2 linked regions of the Lonchura striata genome follow. The protein of the gene in region 1 interacts with the protein of each later gene in a pairwise test. Links are inferred from orthologs where the notes say so. Each region holds a gene or a part of one and is shown on either strand. Other genes may lie near its edges.

Evidence for each region.
Region 2: the proteins of BEND7 (region 1) and SMARCA2 interact in binary tests that used the Homo sapiens proteins (3 or more experiments, as listed by UniProt). The two-hybrid records come from large-scale screens. The link is inferred for Lonchura striata from reciprocal best matches to the Homo sapiens genes BEND7 and SMARCA2.

Annotation. Positions count from the first base shown.
Region 1 is NC_134607.1:66,508,966-66,516,370, forward strand, and holds the start of BEND7 (BEN domain-containing protein 7), read left to right. Parts: upstream 1-4,387; 5' UTR 4,388-4,631; coding exon 4,632-4,692; intron 4,693-7,405.
Region 2 is NC_134642.1:16,215,505-16,223,290, forward strand, and holds the start of SMARCA2 (SWI/SNF-related matrix-associated actin-dependent regulator of chromatin subfamily A member 2), read left to right. Parts: upstream 1-4,780; 5' UTR 4,781-4,951; intron 4,952-5,947; exon of another isoform or gene 5,948-6,010; intron 6,011-6,314; exon of another isoform or gene 6,315-6,412; intron 6,413-7,786. UniProt on the Homo sapiens protein: ATPase involved in transcriptional activation and repression of select genes by chromatin remodeling (alteration of DNA-nucleosome topology).

The sequences.
Region 1 (7,405 bases):
GCAGAGAAGCAGAAGATATCCATGAATATGGACAGATTTCTTTTATTCTTCCGTATCCTCTTTCATAAAAAAGAGCATTGTTGAGACCTTTTCTTCATCATCCTTCAACTACAGCTGTTACTTAGACACTTTGGTCTCCTCTCCATTCCCCGAATTCAAATCCAAACACTAGTTTGTCTTAGGGATGACTTAATATCCATTATGCCACAAGTATTGGATCAGAGTGGATGACCATCAAGCACTGACTCTTAGAATGCAGTGGCCTTCCTCTTGCAATCTTACTCCAAGCTGTACATAAATTCACAGAGCAGGGGAAAACCTTATAGTCAACCTTATAGTCAAAAGGGGGTTTGCATTCTGATATGGAAATGATTAGAAGGTTTGCATTCTGATATGGAAATATTCAGAAGGTTTATGACTGCACACACAAAGAACTCTTTGTACATAGATTCAGTTATATTCCTTATTGTTGAAACAGTTCTGGAATGTTTTGGTCTCCTTGAGCTAGCAAACAGATGAAAACATTGGTCTGTCCTGTAATTTTTTTCTTTAAAATTTATATGAGAAAGATTAACAAGCAGCAGGATGGACAAGAAGGCATTTCACAACTGTGTTCCAAAAGAAAAAGAGAGTAAGGACAGAGACATGAAATGTCAAGTACTGTGACTCAAATGGTCACGAAAAAATTAAGGAGGATTAGAAAAGAAGTTAAACTGCACTCCTGACTTCAGAATTCTTCAGGACATCCAGACATCTTTCTCTCTAATGACCCAGTCCTTGGATATGCCAGCCTGAGAGCCTGCTGAAAGGGAAGGTTTGTAGTGAGACAGCAGAGCACAATGTGGCCTATTGTCAGCTTGGGGGCTAAGTACTGCCTACGTATGTCATATGACCTCAAAACCACCACTGGAAACACTACTACAGTTTATAAAATCCTCAGTGCCATTCATTACACATAACTAACCAAAATAGCTCACCTATTAACCTGTCACCTGCACAGCTCCTGGTCTCCAATTTACCTCTTCACCCTTCTCCTGCTTCTAATACCACACGGAATCTCGTCAGGCTCCAAGATGAGTGGTAATCATGGTGCTATTAATATGACAGTCAGCAGCCTCTTCCCACTTCACATGGCCTCACATGAATTCCTTGACATTAGACTTTAAGCCTCAGATCGAATCACTGAGTTTATGAGACTTTCTCCACTATAATTTTTCCAACTGAAAATCTGAAGTGGTTCAGCTTAGTGCACTTATTTAATTCTCCTCAGCTCTAGGACTCTTTAGTCATCTTTGTCCTATACCATCCTACTTCTGAATAATAAAATATTATCATGAACTGGGCACACCTGGAAACAAAAAGTCTGGGACATCCTGTGTGAAGAGGACTGCTGCTGTTAACACCGAAATATTACTAGATTAATTATATTTAATCAGTTAGCTCGTGTCTGAAATGAAAAAGTATTTCTACACACCAGAAAATTGTTGGAAAAATTACCATCAGTTAGAATGGGGAGGGGATATTTTGAAAGTAACTTGAAGCATAATAAAATGTTAACTAAGAAATAATCAGGGATGATCATACTGACTTGGGACATGTTGCAAGACAAAGCCCTTATTTAGCTGGCCAATTTAAGGCATTTTGAAAAACACATTACTCGGTTAATGGTTTGAGGAAACACTTTGAAAACTTTGTATCTATTCATTAATAGATACAAAATGCTCAGTTTTTTCATATTTTCACCAAAAAGACCTATGGGTTCTTAATATGTAATAATAGCATGATATTGAGACAGAAACTGAAATAAAAGATGAAATTAAAAGCTGTCTGCTCCCCAGAGCCAGTGTGCACTTTATCCTAAGTCACTTGGCTGCCACAGCAATGCAGCCAGTGACTATCTAGGGTGACACAAGGCAGCCATTCTAATGGGATAAAGAGGACTTTCATCTCTACATTTCTCCAGCTGGAATAATGCAATGGTGGCCTGTGACAAACGAGCAGATGATCCCAGTCCAATTTTAGGATGCCCACCCCAAAATGCCCAGTGACAGACTCACAGCTCCCTGTACATGGGAGCCTTTGAGTTTGTGTCATTTTTTCTAAGTCCCTGCTGAGAAGCACCAGCAGTGTAGGACAAAGCTACTTCCAGCTACCGGATCCTCCTACGTGTTGTATGGATAACTACAAGACTTTGACCTAAAGTCACCTTGTCCTAGTTTCTAATTCACTTTTATGCAGATGAGATGGCAAGACTGGAGCTGCAGTATCCACACTGGCTCATACTTTCAGAAATGAAAGCTGCAAGATTTATTCATCTGAGCGACCACAATTAGGCCAGCTTGCAGGATCAGCTTTATTCTGCATGAAAAGGATAGATCTAACTCACATAAAGGAAAATGAGAAATATCAGTGGAAAAGAGGATGTGCCAACTCTTGGAAAACATTACTAGAAACTGCATTGCCCAGACTGAAATGTCATTTAAAACCATGAGTGTCCCTTTAAGCAAATTATCAGCACAGGGAAGGAAGAACTAAAACCAGTAAGAGAGCAGCTTATAAAACACTGCCATCACATTTTCATAAATTATACCCCAAAATGTTTCACAAAATTGAGTAACAGAGTAAAACAGAAAAGATGTTTGTAGCACATTCCTTTGGCAAATGCAGGATAAAGCTCATCATGTGAGCTAAACTGTAAATGAGGGCCTTATGCTTTATAAAAATTCTTCTATTGTCCCAGGAAGGATGAGAGTCAAACGTCAAACGTAACAGTTTCAGCATATAAGTCCTGTAAATAAAGTTAGTTAGCAGACAGGAATCAGCAGACCGTCTGGGGAGGGGAGAAAAAAAAAGTGAAAATACTGTTTTTGTATGAAAATTTTAAGCACACTGCTGCTGCATTTCAGACCCAGCTTCATTGCACTGTACCAGAGATTAATTGGACCCACAAAATCCAGCAAACAGTATATGACATCCATCTACCTTTGCTGCTTCAGCATCCTCCCAAAAATATGTAATGCAGGATTTTAAATAGTACGCTAGCCCAGTTTCCTTTCATAAAGTCTTACAGAGAAGTTTAGGAAAATTCCAAAAGTAGCATATTGATTGCCTCTGGGATTTTCCACTTAGCAATTTAATAGAAAATTACACCCCTACCCAATCTGTGAGGTTTCCATAACCTCCCTAGTGAATTTAATTTTCCAGCATATAATAAATTTTACCATTAGGCATATTTTCTGATATTGCTTCACCATTAAGGCTATTTCCCAATTTTTCTTTTCAGAACTAGGTATATCCTCTGTGTAGTGTCTGGATGGCACCTTGCACCGAAGAATTCAGGTCTGACTGTGTGCATGCACACAGTTAGGATACAAATCACTACTGCTAGTATTCAATTTTCTTCCCTCCTGCTCATTTTATGTCATTATACCTAGTGATAGGGTCGGTCAATATTACTGGAGCTAACGGGATTCTCCTGGGTGCTCTGAAGAGACCAAGGCAAGATCTGCATTTTGCATCTGTTCAAGTAGGCGTATGCAAGTATCACATAGTCTTCTTGTCACAACACAGTCTGACTACATGTAAAACACAATATGATGATCGGAGCTGTGTTTGCAGTTATCAGTAGTCATAACTGTAAACGCCTGAGTTCTTTCTCTACAGGCAACAGGCAAAAGCACTCTCGGCTGTAAAAAAAAAAAAAAAAAAAAAAAAAAAAAATCACTCCACCCTCAGTGAATTTCGCACAGTGAGCGAACTGGAAGTGTGGCTGAAGGCATCAAGTGGTAAATAAATCAAAGCACTAATTTCAGCTGTGTTTGGGCCAGCCGTATGGCTGCAGTGACCTCACGGTGACCGTCGGGAGGGCTGCCAGACGCCCTAAATCTCGCTGCTCTGGAGAGCCGAGCCTCTCTTCCTCCTGCTGAGGGATCCAGGTTTGGCAGAGCTCATCCCAGCCGGCGGCTCGCCGCTCTTCTCCAGGCCTCGGTCCACGACACCAGCGGACACATCGCTGCGATGATCCCTGTAAAACACGGCAACAAACAGGTGTTGCCATCAGTTCCTCAGGTTAACCCACTTCCGCACGCCAGCTCCAGTCCCGGTCCCGCCGAGCGCGAGGAGCTGCCCCGGCTCGGCCCCGAGCGGAGCCGCGGGCAGCGCCGGGCGGGCAGCGCCGGAGCCGCGCGCGGGCGGCGGGCGGGGGACACAAAATGGCGCTGCCCCTCAGCCCCTCGCCCTCAACCCGCGGCGGGGCCGAGTGGCGGCGGGCCGGCCCCGGGGTGGCGGTGGCGGCTCCCGGCCGGCGGAACCGCCGCCTTCCTTCCCCCAGCAGGTGGCACCGGGGTCCCGGCGCCGGCGGCGAAGCCATTGCGGGCCGCCCTTCGCCGCCGGGCCGCGGCCGCGCAGCCGGCGGGGGGGAAGGCGGCGGCATCGCCCCCGCGGGGCTCCCCCCGCCGCACCCCGCTTTTCCTCAAAGTTCGGGGCGGGAGCGAGGGGGAGACCGGAGCCAACTTGTCCCGGATCCCTTTATTCGCCGCCGGAGCCGCCGTCTCTCCCAACCCCCGCGTGTATTGCTGATCGGAGGGACGGAGCTCGGTCCTGTGTCCGCCCCGCTCCTTCCTGCCCACACCATGGAGTTCGCCCAGAGGAAGAGGAGCAGGAAATCCCAAAGCTTTAAACTGGTCAACGAAGGTAAGGCGCGGGCGGCCGGGCTTTGTTCGCTGGCCGGGGGCAGCCCCGACTTTTGCCCCGGGGGGAGCGGGGCGTTATGAAACGCCGGCGCCCCCGGGCCGCCGCTCCCTCCCGGCTCTGTTATTGAACTCCGCAATCCTCTGCCTCAACTCCCCGAAACCATTGCACGCCTATTTATTTTTTTTTTTTTAATTTTATTTCTTTCACCCCCGTTTCCTCTTTTTTTTTTTTTAATTATTTTTGCATATGTGTTACGTGTTGTTGCAAAACCACCACCACCTCAGGTGGACGTGTTATTTTTTTTCAAGCAGAGAACCTTGCACAAAATAAAGTTGGATCGCGTTTCGTGGTGAATCCTGCTTGGGCGGGGGGGAGAAAAGGTAAAAACGGGAAGAGAGCAAAAAATAATGACACTTGAGCAGCGACAGACCTTCTTGGTATTCAACTCTTGTGGGTTTATTGTATTTGGGGTGGTTTTTTTCCTCTCCTCGGCTGTGTACATCCGTGTATTTCAAGAAAAGCTGAATCGAGATCGCTTTATTAAAAATCCACGCAGGTAATTAATTGTACGTGGGCAGGGGAGAGCCGCTGCCGTGTAACTTGTTCGCTCGGGGTGTGTTTGCTTTTGGAAAAGAGGATCTTTTAAAAGGGATCGTGAAGGGAGAAATATTTTAATTCATGTCGGACAAGAAGCACAGCTCTGTGTTCAGTCTTCTTGTTTTTTTCTTTAATTAAAGGGGGGAAAAGATACAGCCGCTGGTAGGCATTTTCACAGGTGGACTTCCCAGCCCTAGGGATTTATTTTGCTTGGGGATTTATCCCTTCTCCGGCCGATGAGATGTTTTTGTCCTGATGGATTTGATTCGAGATCGTTTTTCCTTTTGTGTTCCCAAGTATTGGACGGGAATATCTCCATGAAACGCTGTGTGTGTCCTGCATGCCAAGTTCAAGGCAGGTGACTGCTTGGGTTTAATGTCACACTGGTGAAAAGGGGGACACACACACACGAGTGTCAAGACTTGCTGTCTGAGGAGTGCTCTGTAAAATTACGTTTGAAGTGAAGAAATTCAAATATGGAAATAAACTCACTTGGTGGGAATAGTAAATAATGACTGCTGTATTGTGGTAGGGGGGTCTGGGACATCACACATGGTCCCTGTTAAAGCTAGAGGGGCAGGGACTTGCCAGACGTGTCTGAAATGCATTGGAGGTCTGTATCCATTAAGCAAACTTATCAAGGGTGTAATTTTACAGAGAACAGGTTTGGTTTGTGGGGTTTTGGTACTGAACACGCTCCCAACTTGGAGGCAGAGTTAGTGCATGACTGCGCTGGAGCATGGAGGTGGTGAAACAAAACTGAAATTTTGCTTTTTTTTCTTTCTATCCTAATGGGCCTATAAAAAGAGTATTTGCCAGAAATAGGTGACTGTTTTGCCAATCTCAGTTGCCATTTCGTTCAGGTTTAGATATGCCTCGGTGTATGAGGCAGTCTATTTAACCTTATTTTAATAGGTAAATCCAGTTATGATGGTACATTATTAATAATATTTTATGTGTGGTCTCTTTTTGGATGTAGAAAGTAAAATAAAAAGCTACACTAAAAACATATGCTAGAGAGAAAATAGTGTCTTTTTACTTTGAGAATGGAGGAGATAAAAATCAGGTTTTGTATATGAGTTTGCACTCTCATACTGTTTTCTATCACAGTTGACTAGAAAGATAATTATGTATAAATAATTGTCTCTTGTAATTGGCCTTTGCCTCTTGCAGGAGTTATTCTGTAATGTCACAGTTTAGTGTTTACTGTTGTGAAATTGATACAGTTTCCCAGTGCCTGGACTGTGACATCCAAGACACAGAAAAGAAAGCAAACAGAAAAGGCTATGCTGTATGAGTTGGTTAGTAAGACACTCTGCTATTGATGTGTGCCGATACATACCATGCTTATTCTGTCCCAAAAATAACTTTGAGCACCTTATCACAATGATCAATAATGATCAAATCAAAAGAAAATCAATTCCTGTGCTAAAATGCAGTCACCTCTGGGGTGAAATGTGGTGACTTTAAGGCAGCAGCTGCAGACCAGAGGAATATTGTGACCAGCTAGATATATAGGGAAGTGCTGGAGAAGAAACTGTGTAATCTGTATATCTAAAGACCATGAGTCTGTAAGTCTTTAAGTCCTAGTTTCCACATACTTGCTTCCACAGATCTGGAATGTCCTTGAGAGGATGAAGGTGCAGAGTTGCAGAGTGTGGCAGGTAGACCCTGACTGGCTGGCCATCAGGTGCCCACCAAGCCACTTCATCACACCCTCTGCTCAACAGGACAGCTAGTGATCATGGAAGGGAGCATAAATCCTGCCAGTTTAGTCTCATAAAAGAAGCTTTTACTTCCTCGATGTCATATCTCAAACTTCACCTTTACCCATTTCATTGGCTGGGCGTGCTCGGGAAGCAGAGGAATCCTTTGTGTAGCACCTCATCGCTGACCTCTCCAGTTCTGTGGTGTAGTTGTTTTCCCCTCATTTTCTTTCCAGGCCCTTCTCATTCTATAGAATTGCTGGGTTAGGCTTGATTTTAGTTTACATACTGGGTTGTTCCTTCTCTTGTGCCTTTTCTGACAGTCGTGCTGTACAAATAAACAGCACGTAACAAAAAAGTGACTTCCAGGAGACTTTTCCAGTGCTGTGCCTGTTTGGTCAGAGGTGCAG
Region 2 (7,786 bases), on another chromosome or scaffold:
ACAAAAACACCTTGAAAGTTTAGAGCAAATGAAGCTGCTTTGAAACAGGCTGAAAGGCTCTATCTTTTAAACTTGTGAATGCGGATAGATGAGCATGTCTCCAGAAAAAAAAAAAAAAAAAAAAAAAAGGCTGAGGGGAAATGGGTATGAGTACAAGCACATTAATAAAAGTTGTATTTGAATGTAAGGTTTACTTTTAAATTAAATAGTAATTTACTGTTCCACAAGAGAAGGAGAAGCTTGAACCAGCTCCAATTGACTTTGCTGTCAATCATATCAGGCTCAGATACACTCTACATTCAATGTATTGTATGACTATTCTATACTCATGTCAAGTGACACAAGTGGCACAACAACAGATGTGTAAGGAGTAACCTTCCCACCAGGATTCACCTACTTCAGGGCAAGTATTGTTCCCCTTTAACAAGTAGGTGAGGAAAAGCTCATTGGCGGTCATCAGCTTCCTCGCTCAAGCAGGATGCCCTAGCGCATGGTAGTCAGAATTTTGTCTACATTGCTTTTAAGTACTCTAGGGAAGGAGACTCCACAACTACTCTGGGCAACCTGCTCCAGTGCTCAATTAGTAGAGAATTTCTTCCTCATGTCTCATGTTCAGGTGAATGTTTCTATCTTCCAGCTTCTGCCCATTACTCAGCATTACTAAGAACTTGACTCCATCCTCATGAGAGCCACCCATCATATATTTATACATATTGATGTGATCTTCTCTCAGTCTTCTCTTCTCCAGACTGAATAGGCCCTGTCCCAGCTGGAATGCTCCAGACCCCACCTATGCTGCCCTCAGCTGAACATGCTTCAGGAGCTACATGCCTCTCTTGCCCTGAGGAGCCCAGAACTGGACATGTTGAATTTCAGACAGTTCCTCTCTGCCCACCTCTTCAATCTGCTGAAGTCTTTCTAAAGGGTTGCACAGCTCTCCTGGGTACTGGCCGCTCCCTTCCAGCTTTGTGTTGTCAGTGAACTTGCTGAGGAGGCATCTACCCATGACTGACAAGTTAAACAATACTGGACCAGTACTGAGCCCTTGAGGACACCACTAGAGACAGGCCAGCAATGAGATTCTGTGCCACTGATTACAACCCTCGGGGATCTGCAGTTCAAGCTCAGGAAATTTGGGTCGGACAGTGAGGTTGCAGTGAGAACTGGCACCTCACTGTCCACTCATCCAGCCCATACTCCTGAGCTTGCCTATGAGAGTAACACCAGAGGACAGTGTCAAAACTCTTGCTCAAAGTCCAGGTAAACATCTACTGCTCTTCCCTCTCATCCACCCAGGTAATTGTCTCAGCATAGAGGGCAATCAGGTTAGTTAAGCACACTGACTACTCTTCATCATCTTTGTGTCCACCATGTATGTGGAGGTGGCCTCCAGGATGAAACGTTTCATTACCTTTTCCAGGATTAAGATGAGACCGATCGGCCTGTAGATCCCAGAATCTCCTTCTTGCCGCCTTTGAAGACTAGGGTGGTACTTGCTGTCCTCTAGTATTGTGACACCTCTCCTGACTGCCATGACCTTTCAAAGATCTGAGAGCAATCATGTCTACTCGTTCTTTCAGCATTCATAAGTATGAAGGAACCCAGCAGAGCCCATGAACTTGTGGATGGCCAAGTTCACTTCTTTATGATTTCCCTGGACACACTGAAGAACATTTTGAAGCAGAAGCCTGAGCATAAAGCTGTCTTCTTGGAATGTTCTAGCTTAAGCCATTTTTCACAGCCACCTAGGCTAAAGCAGCTGGATTCTGCTAAGAACCGGCTGAAATACTAAAATATAATTTTTTCTGCTATTTCTGTTGCAGTGAGTGCAATTGTCTCTGGCAGACAAGTGATAGCAAACACAGAAATAGCAGCCCTAACTGTTACAGCAGGGGTTTCAAGGTGGTAATGGTGAGGTTGCTGTAAACAATTGCAACTCCCTGGTGGTAATGACCTCTTTTTGGTTGAAGTGTCCCTTCAAGAGTACCACCGATACATCAGTTTCTCAACAGCCTTACTGTGTTGGTATAATTCTTCAAATAAAAAAGCTTTAGTTCCACAGCAACATATCTAGCTACTCAAAGAAATATCTCTTTTTGTAGTGGTACCTCATCTAGTCTGAAAATTTTACATGCTATTTTACCATTAATGGCCATATCCATTTAATTCAAGTTAAAGACCCTCATCTTTTCTTCCTTTTGTTATATTAGATAAATTAATGGGGGAAAACAAATTTATCCTATAGCATGTGACTATTCATCATCAACATATTCATTATAAACAAAGCTTCAGCTACTTAAGGCTCATATAGGGAAGCCTTACTGACCCTTCCAATTAGGATTTTTGTATCAGGTGAACATGCCTCACTTGACAAAAAACTCTCATGTTTCCCACCCACTCCAGACAGATTACAATGAGATTCAATGGTACTTCATCAAAACACAAAAAGAAAAAGCATTCAGACTGACACCAGCAACAGGCATGTTCATGCTCTCAAAATGGAATTGGCTGCTGCAACCTTCCCAAAATAAACATAATCATTAACTAAATATAGCTGTATCTATTCCAGAGTCAAGAGAACCTTTCTTCTTTTGCCTAAAAGATTAACTTTTTATTTATTTTTCTTCTCTGTATACTTTCTAACAAAAAGAATGGCCTGACCTGGTTTAGAATGTTTTGAGTGTTGCTGAATCCAGCAAACAGTCGAGCTGTTTTGAAAGAAAGCTTCCCCTCCATTATTTAATGTTTGTTGTCTCTTTGGCAGAGAGAAAAGGCAAACAGTCCTCAGATTTACACTAGGGAATGGAGGAAGAAAAACAAACGACAAGCGTAAATGACTGCCTAATGAGAGTTTCAGTATTAAGAAAAAAAATTATAATGAGAAAGCATCTCTTTACCCCTTTCATTTTCATTAGCATAATGTTCCAAGAATGTTAAATACATTCTTTTATCTCTTAGACGCCAGTTTGCAGCTTAAGACAAAGCTAAAAACAAAGTTTTAAATTACAAGTCAATCAAAAGATTTACATAATGACATAAGTTATTTTGTATATTAAGATTTGAATGATTCAACTTCTTTGATTTTGTTCCCAAGTAAATATTTTGCAATGACAATGGTGAACTGAAAATACAGCCTTTTAAACTTTTTAATTTATTGATACTTTGCATTATCCAGTTAGCACTGATTCTTACACACCTATTTTCAGCATTTTGACCATTTACATAAAAAAAAATAAAATGAAGACGATTAAACTGGAAAACTACAGGAACAGTAGTAATTCGTATTGTATTGCCAGCATTGCAAATTGGTGATTTGAATAAAAAGAGCTCCACGCTAAACACCGTGTAAACAATATCTGTCACTTTAAGACCATAAGATGCATTTGGTGCTCCCAGCACTATTTCAGGTCTTTAACTACTCCACCTGACCACAGCTCAGGAACTTCACTTAAACTCGGTCACCTGAGCGTCTGTAGTAGCTACTGATTTTACTTAGATTCCTATGAACATTCTTACTCCATACGAAGTGAAATTTTACTTGCAGAATGGCAAATACTGCCCATGTGACATAATCTTAAAAAAATGTAACTACCTCTAACACCACGTACAGTAATCTGGCTGCATTTTTTTTTTTTTTTTACCTCTACAACCCGTGTTCAAGAAAAAAAAAAAACCTCAGACAGGTAGGCCCATTATTTTAATGAAGTACTTAGTTGCCTGTTACATGAACAGGTACAGCTTGTACAAAAAACATGGGAGCTCTGCAGCCCCTGCTGCAAACCACGTAAACCACCTGAAGCATTAAAAAAAAACAAAAACCAAAAAAAAAAAAACAAAAACCAAAAAAAACAAAAAAAAAAAAAAAAACAAAACAGGAAAAAAAACAACCAAAGAAAGAAAACCCCAAAAACAAAACAAACCAAAAAAAAACACCCAAAAAACCAAAAAATATGCAGCACTAGGATACAGAACTGGAAAGTGTCCTTCCAAACCAACTTTAAAAAACCTACTCAAACGGAAGCAAGCAACACAATGCACTATTTCCCCTCCCAATCGCGCAGAAACAAGAGCTGCTCCGCGGCTCTTCCCCCGGGTTCGCTCTCGCCGCCGGTGCCTCCGCAGCCGCCCGGCCCTGCCCCGCGAGCGGCCGCGGACAGCCGCAGCCTGCCGGCAGGCCGGGTCCGCTGCAACGCTCTCGGCAGCCCGCCGTCGTCCACGACAGAACCTCTGCTACGGAGAGAGGGGATGGGCTCTAAGCTTTCCCCACACACGTGTTTTTATGTTAAGGGGAGAGAGACACCCGCCCTGGGCACGCACACGCACACGCACACACACAGACACCCAACAGCCAGACACAGCTGATCCCACGCCCGTCAGGCTGGCTCCTCCCCGCCCCTCCAGCGGGGCAGAGGCACAGCGCACTTCCAGCACCTTCTTCACCTCTTCCCCAAACTACTGCCGCGAGTGCCGCCCTCGTAGGCAAAGAGGTCCTGCCCCTCTCCCCGCGCCGCGGAGGCGGGCCGGGAGGGGCGCGGCGGCGCCGCCGCGGGGAGCGCGGGCTGCCGCGGCCGTGCGGCCCGCGCGCAGCGCCGCGCTCGCCCTGCGCACGGCGCCGCGGAGCGCGGCGCACCCCGCCCCGCGCGCGCCTGCACACCTCCGCCCCCCCGGCCTCCCGCGTGAGCGACGGCTCCCCGGGCCAATAGAGCCGCCCCTTCTACGCAAGGGGGCGGGCACTCCCTGCCTGGCGGACCAATGGCAACACCGCTGTCTGAGCAGTGGCGAAGGCGAAGGGGGGGCCGGAGGAGGGGCAGGAGTTTAGGAAGAGGAGGGAATGGCTGTCATCAATGAAGTCATGTTCGTGATCTAGTCCCTCGCTCCGGTTCTGGACTCGGGTGACTCACTGAGGGGGGAGAGGAGCGACAGTCAGCACGGCGCTCCGCCCGGGCGGAAGGTAAATACAACTTGCGACTCGGTCCAACCCCGTCAGCTCCCCGTGCCCGGGCACGGTCCTTTATTGTCGCCGGCTGTGCCGGCTCGCTCCGTGCCCACCTTCCCTCTCCCCATCGCTGCCCTTCCCTGCGCACGGCACCGCCGGTCCCAGCCGCCGCCGTGCCACCTGCTTCCTCTCCCCACCTTCCCCCGTGCCGGGCCCTCCCGAATATTTATATCCCCCAGTGGGTGGGGAGAAGAAAGTTTTGATCCGGTATTATTCTGGAATAATCACGATGCGGATCTCCGGAGCGGGAGCGACAGAACCCCCACGGAGTCGCCGGTGGCTGACTCGTGAGTCAGCGGCACTCTCGGTCCTGCCGCCCAGCGAGCGTGTCACGGGCTGCGGGCGAAGCGGCCACAAATAGATCCTTGGGGAGCGACGGCCCGCACGGACGGGCCGGGGGCGGCTCCGCTGCAGCTGCCGGGGGTCGCGGGGTGAAGTTCAGGGCGTCCGGAGGCAGCAGAGCGCGGTGCGCTGGGGCTGTTCCTCCGCCGTGGCACACGCTGGCTCAGACCCAGCCGAGCAAGGGGAAGTGGGGAGGCATGGGGGGGGAGGAACATGGTGCAGGGGGGAGCGGTCTCGCCTGCGAGGAGAGTAGCGGCATTCCCCGGCAGAGCCAGGGAGGCCATGATCCGGATCGTCGCTGCGTGCCTGTCACAAACATCGCACACACCGGGGAGGGGGAAGAAGCGGGGGCTTGGACTTTAGCCCAACAGGGCTGCGGCTCCTGTTGCTTTTCGGTCTCTTGTTTTTAACTGTGCAGTCACTCCTGCTGGAAAGGTGTCGCGGTTTACTTCCCAAAATAGCTTGCATGTCGTCGTACCCCTCCCGTTTTCCCTGCAGAAATTCACCCCCCTCCTCCTCCCCACCTCCAAGCAGAGTAGCACAAAACATGCGCTTACAATTTTGGAATCGCCTGCCAAGCAAAAAAGCGTTTTATTTCCGGTGTGCGCGGAAATTTATTTTTTTTAACCCGGCCGGGCGGGAGCCAGGATGCAAACGCGCGCGGATGCTCAGGTAGCTGCGGGTCGCCGGCCCCCGTGTCGTGAGAGGGGACAGCGGTGTTTGGCACCTGGAAAAGTTCTGTGCCCAGCCGGAGGCGGGGGTGGGCGGCAGAGCGCTGCTGCAGCCAGCTGCCGGGCGGGGCCGGGGGCAGCGGAGCCCGTCCGCGGGCCGCAGCGGGGCAGGGGCGGGAGGCGGCGGCGGGGGGAGGATAGGAGGGCGGGTGGCCTTTCCCGTCCCTCCGCCTGTACCAGCGGCGGCGGATCAGGAAGTCACCGCCGCCACACACAGGCGCACAGACATGTTTGGTCGGCGTGACATGGTGGCGGAGGGAAGGAGAGGCGGGGAGACGGGCCCGGCCCAGCCCTGAGGCATGACCCGGCTGCTCGCCCGCCCGCCCGCCCGCCTGCGGCCGAGGTACGGGGCCGTGCGCGGGCAGCGCCGCCAGCAGCGCACCCGCTGCTCCATGGAGGGGCGGGGACAGGCAGCAGCGGGGCCGCATTTCCAGGCAGGGACGCTTTACAGCTTGTGGGCCGGGGAGAAAACTTTCCAGAAGGGCTGGAGGGGGGAAAACGGGGCCCTGCCGGTTGTGCGCGCCCGCCGCGGCGCCTTGGCGGGGGAGGCGGCGGGCGGCCGGCGCCGAGGCCTGCGCGCCGCCCGCCCGCAGGGCCCGAGCGCCGGGGCAGAGCGGCGGGGCTGCCGCCGAGGCGGCGAGCGCCCGCCCTTGCCCCCCGCCGCTCCCGGGTCGCGGGTGCTCCGCCGCGGCTCTTCCTTGCGTGCACGGTGCAGAAATGGAGTTTCTTGCCTTGTCTCCTCCCCTCTTAAATTTATAATGGTGGAACTACGAACTGCGCACGGCTGGAAAAGTTACAGCTCTTCTAAACTCGATCTGAAGTTACAGTTTAACGATTGGCTTGGATTGTTTTTTGTTTTGGTTTTTAACCTGAGCGTGCGTTATGGTCAAGCAAAGGGAGTGTAAAAGTGTCAGCAGATTACATACATTGTACCGAATTTGTTTTTTCTTGATACCTGATTAATATGTTTGATATTCGGAGTTATCGAATGCTAGGTTAACGCTGTTCTTTTTAGGATATATTTTTATGAATATTAATGTGAATATGAATATGCAAGTAAATAACCAGCTGAAGAATTGAAGATTAAAAGTTGCTGGATTTTTCTTTTTTGTTTGGTCGGGTTTTCTTCCGCTGTGTTCTGCATGCTTTCATTGTAGAATTGATCTGGGGTCTGTGACACTGCATTGTTCCGTTTGCATTTTCGCTGGTTTTCTTTTAACTTTCTGAAATGTTAAGTGGTTTTAACCACAGACCCTAAGACCCAAACGGTACACAATTCTGTACCAGAATTTAATTCCTTTGCTAGTGTACCAGTTGCGTGTTCGGGGTGGGGTAGTCTCCTATGTGCAAGTTACTATTGTTGTGCAAATACGGGCACACTTTCTCTTTGGGAACCTAATTGCCCTATTACTGTCTCTGACTTTGTTTCTTTTGTTCTTTTGTGATTCTAAGGAAAAAAAGTAGTGTGTCAGAAGGATGGGTTTGCCTCGAGGCAGGTTTTTATGTCTTTCTCTCTCTATACATATACATATATATATATCAGTGATAGAAAGAAAAAATACTGTATGGATAGTGGGCTTTTAAAATTTAGTGTGGATCATACAGCATATGTGGACTTGCCAGAGGTGAGAGTAAAAATATTATAAACATTATTTCTCTTTAAGACTGGTATTTCTGTGGTGTTGGATGGAACATGTGCCAAAAGAGCGTGTTCAAA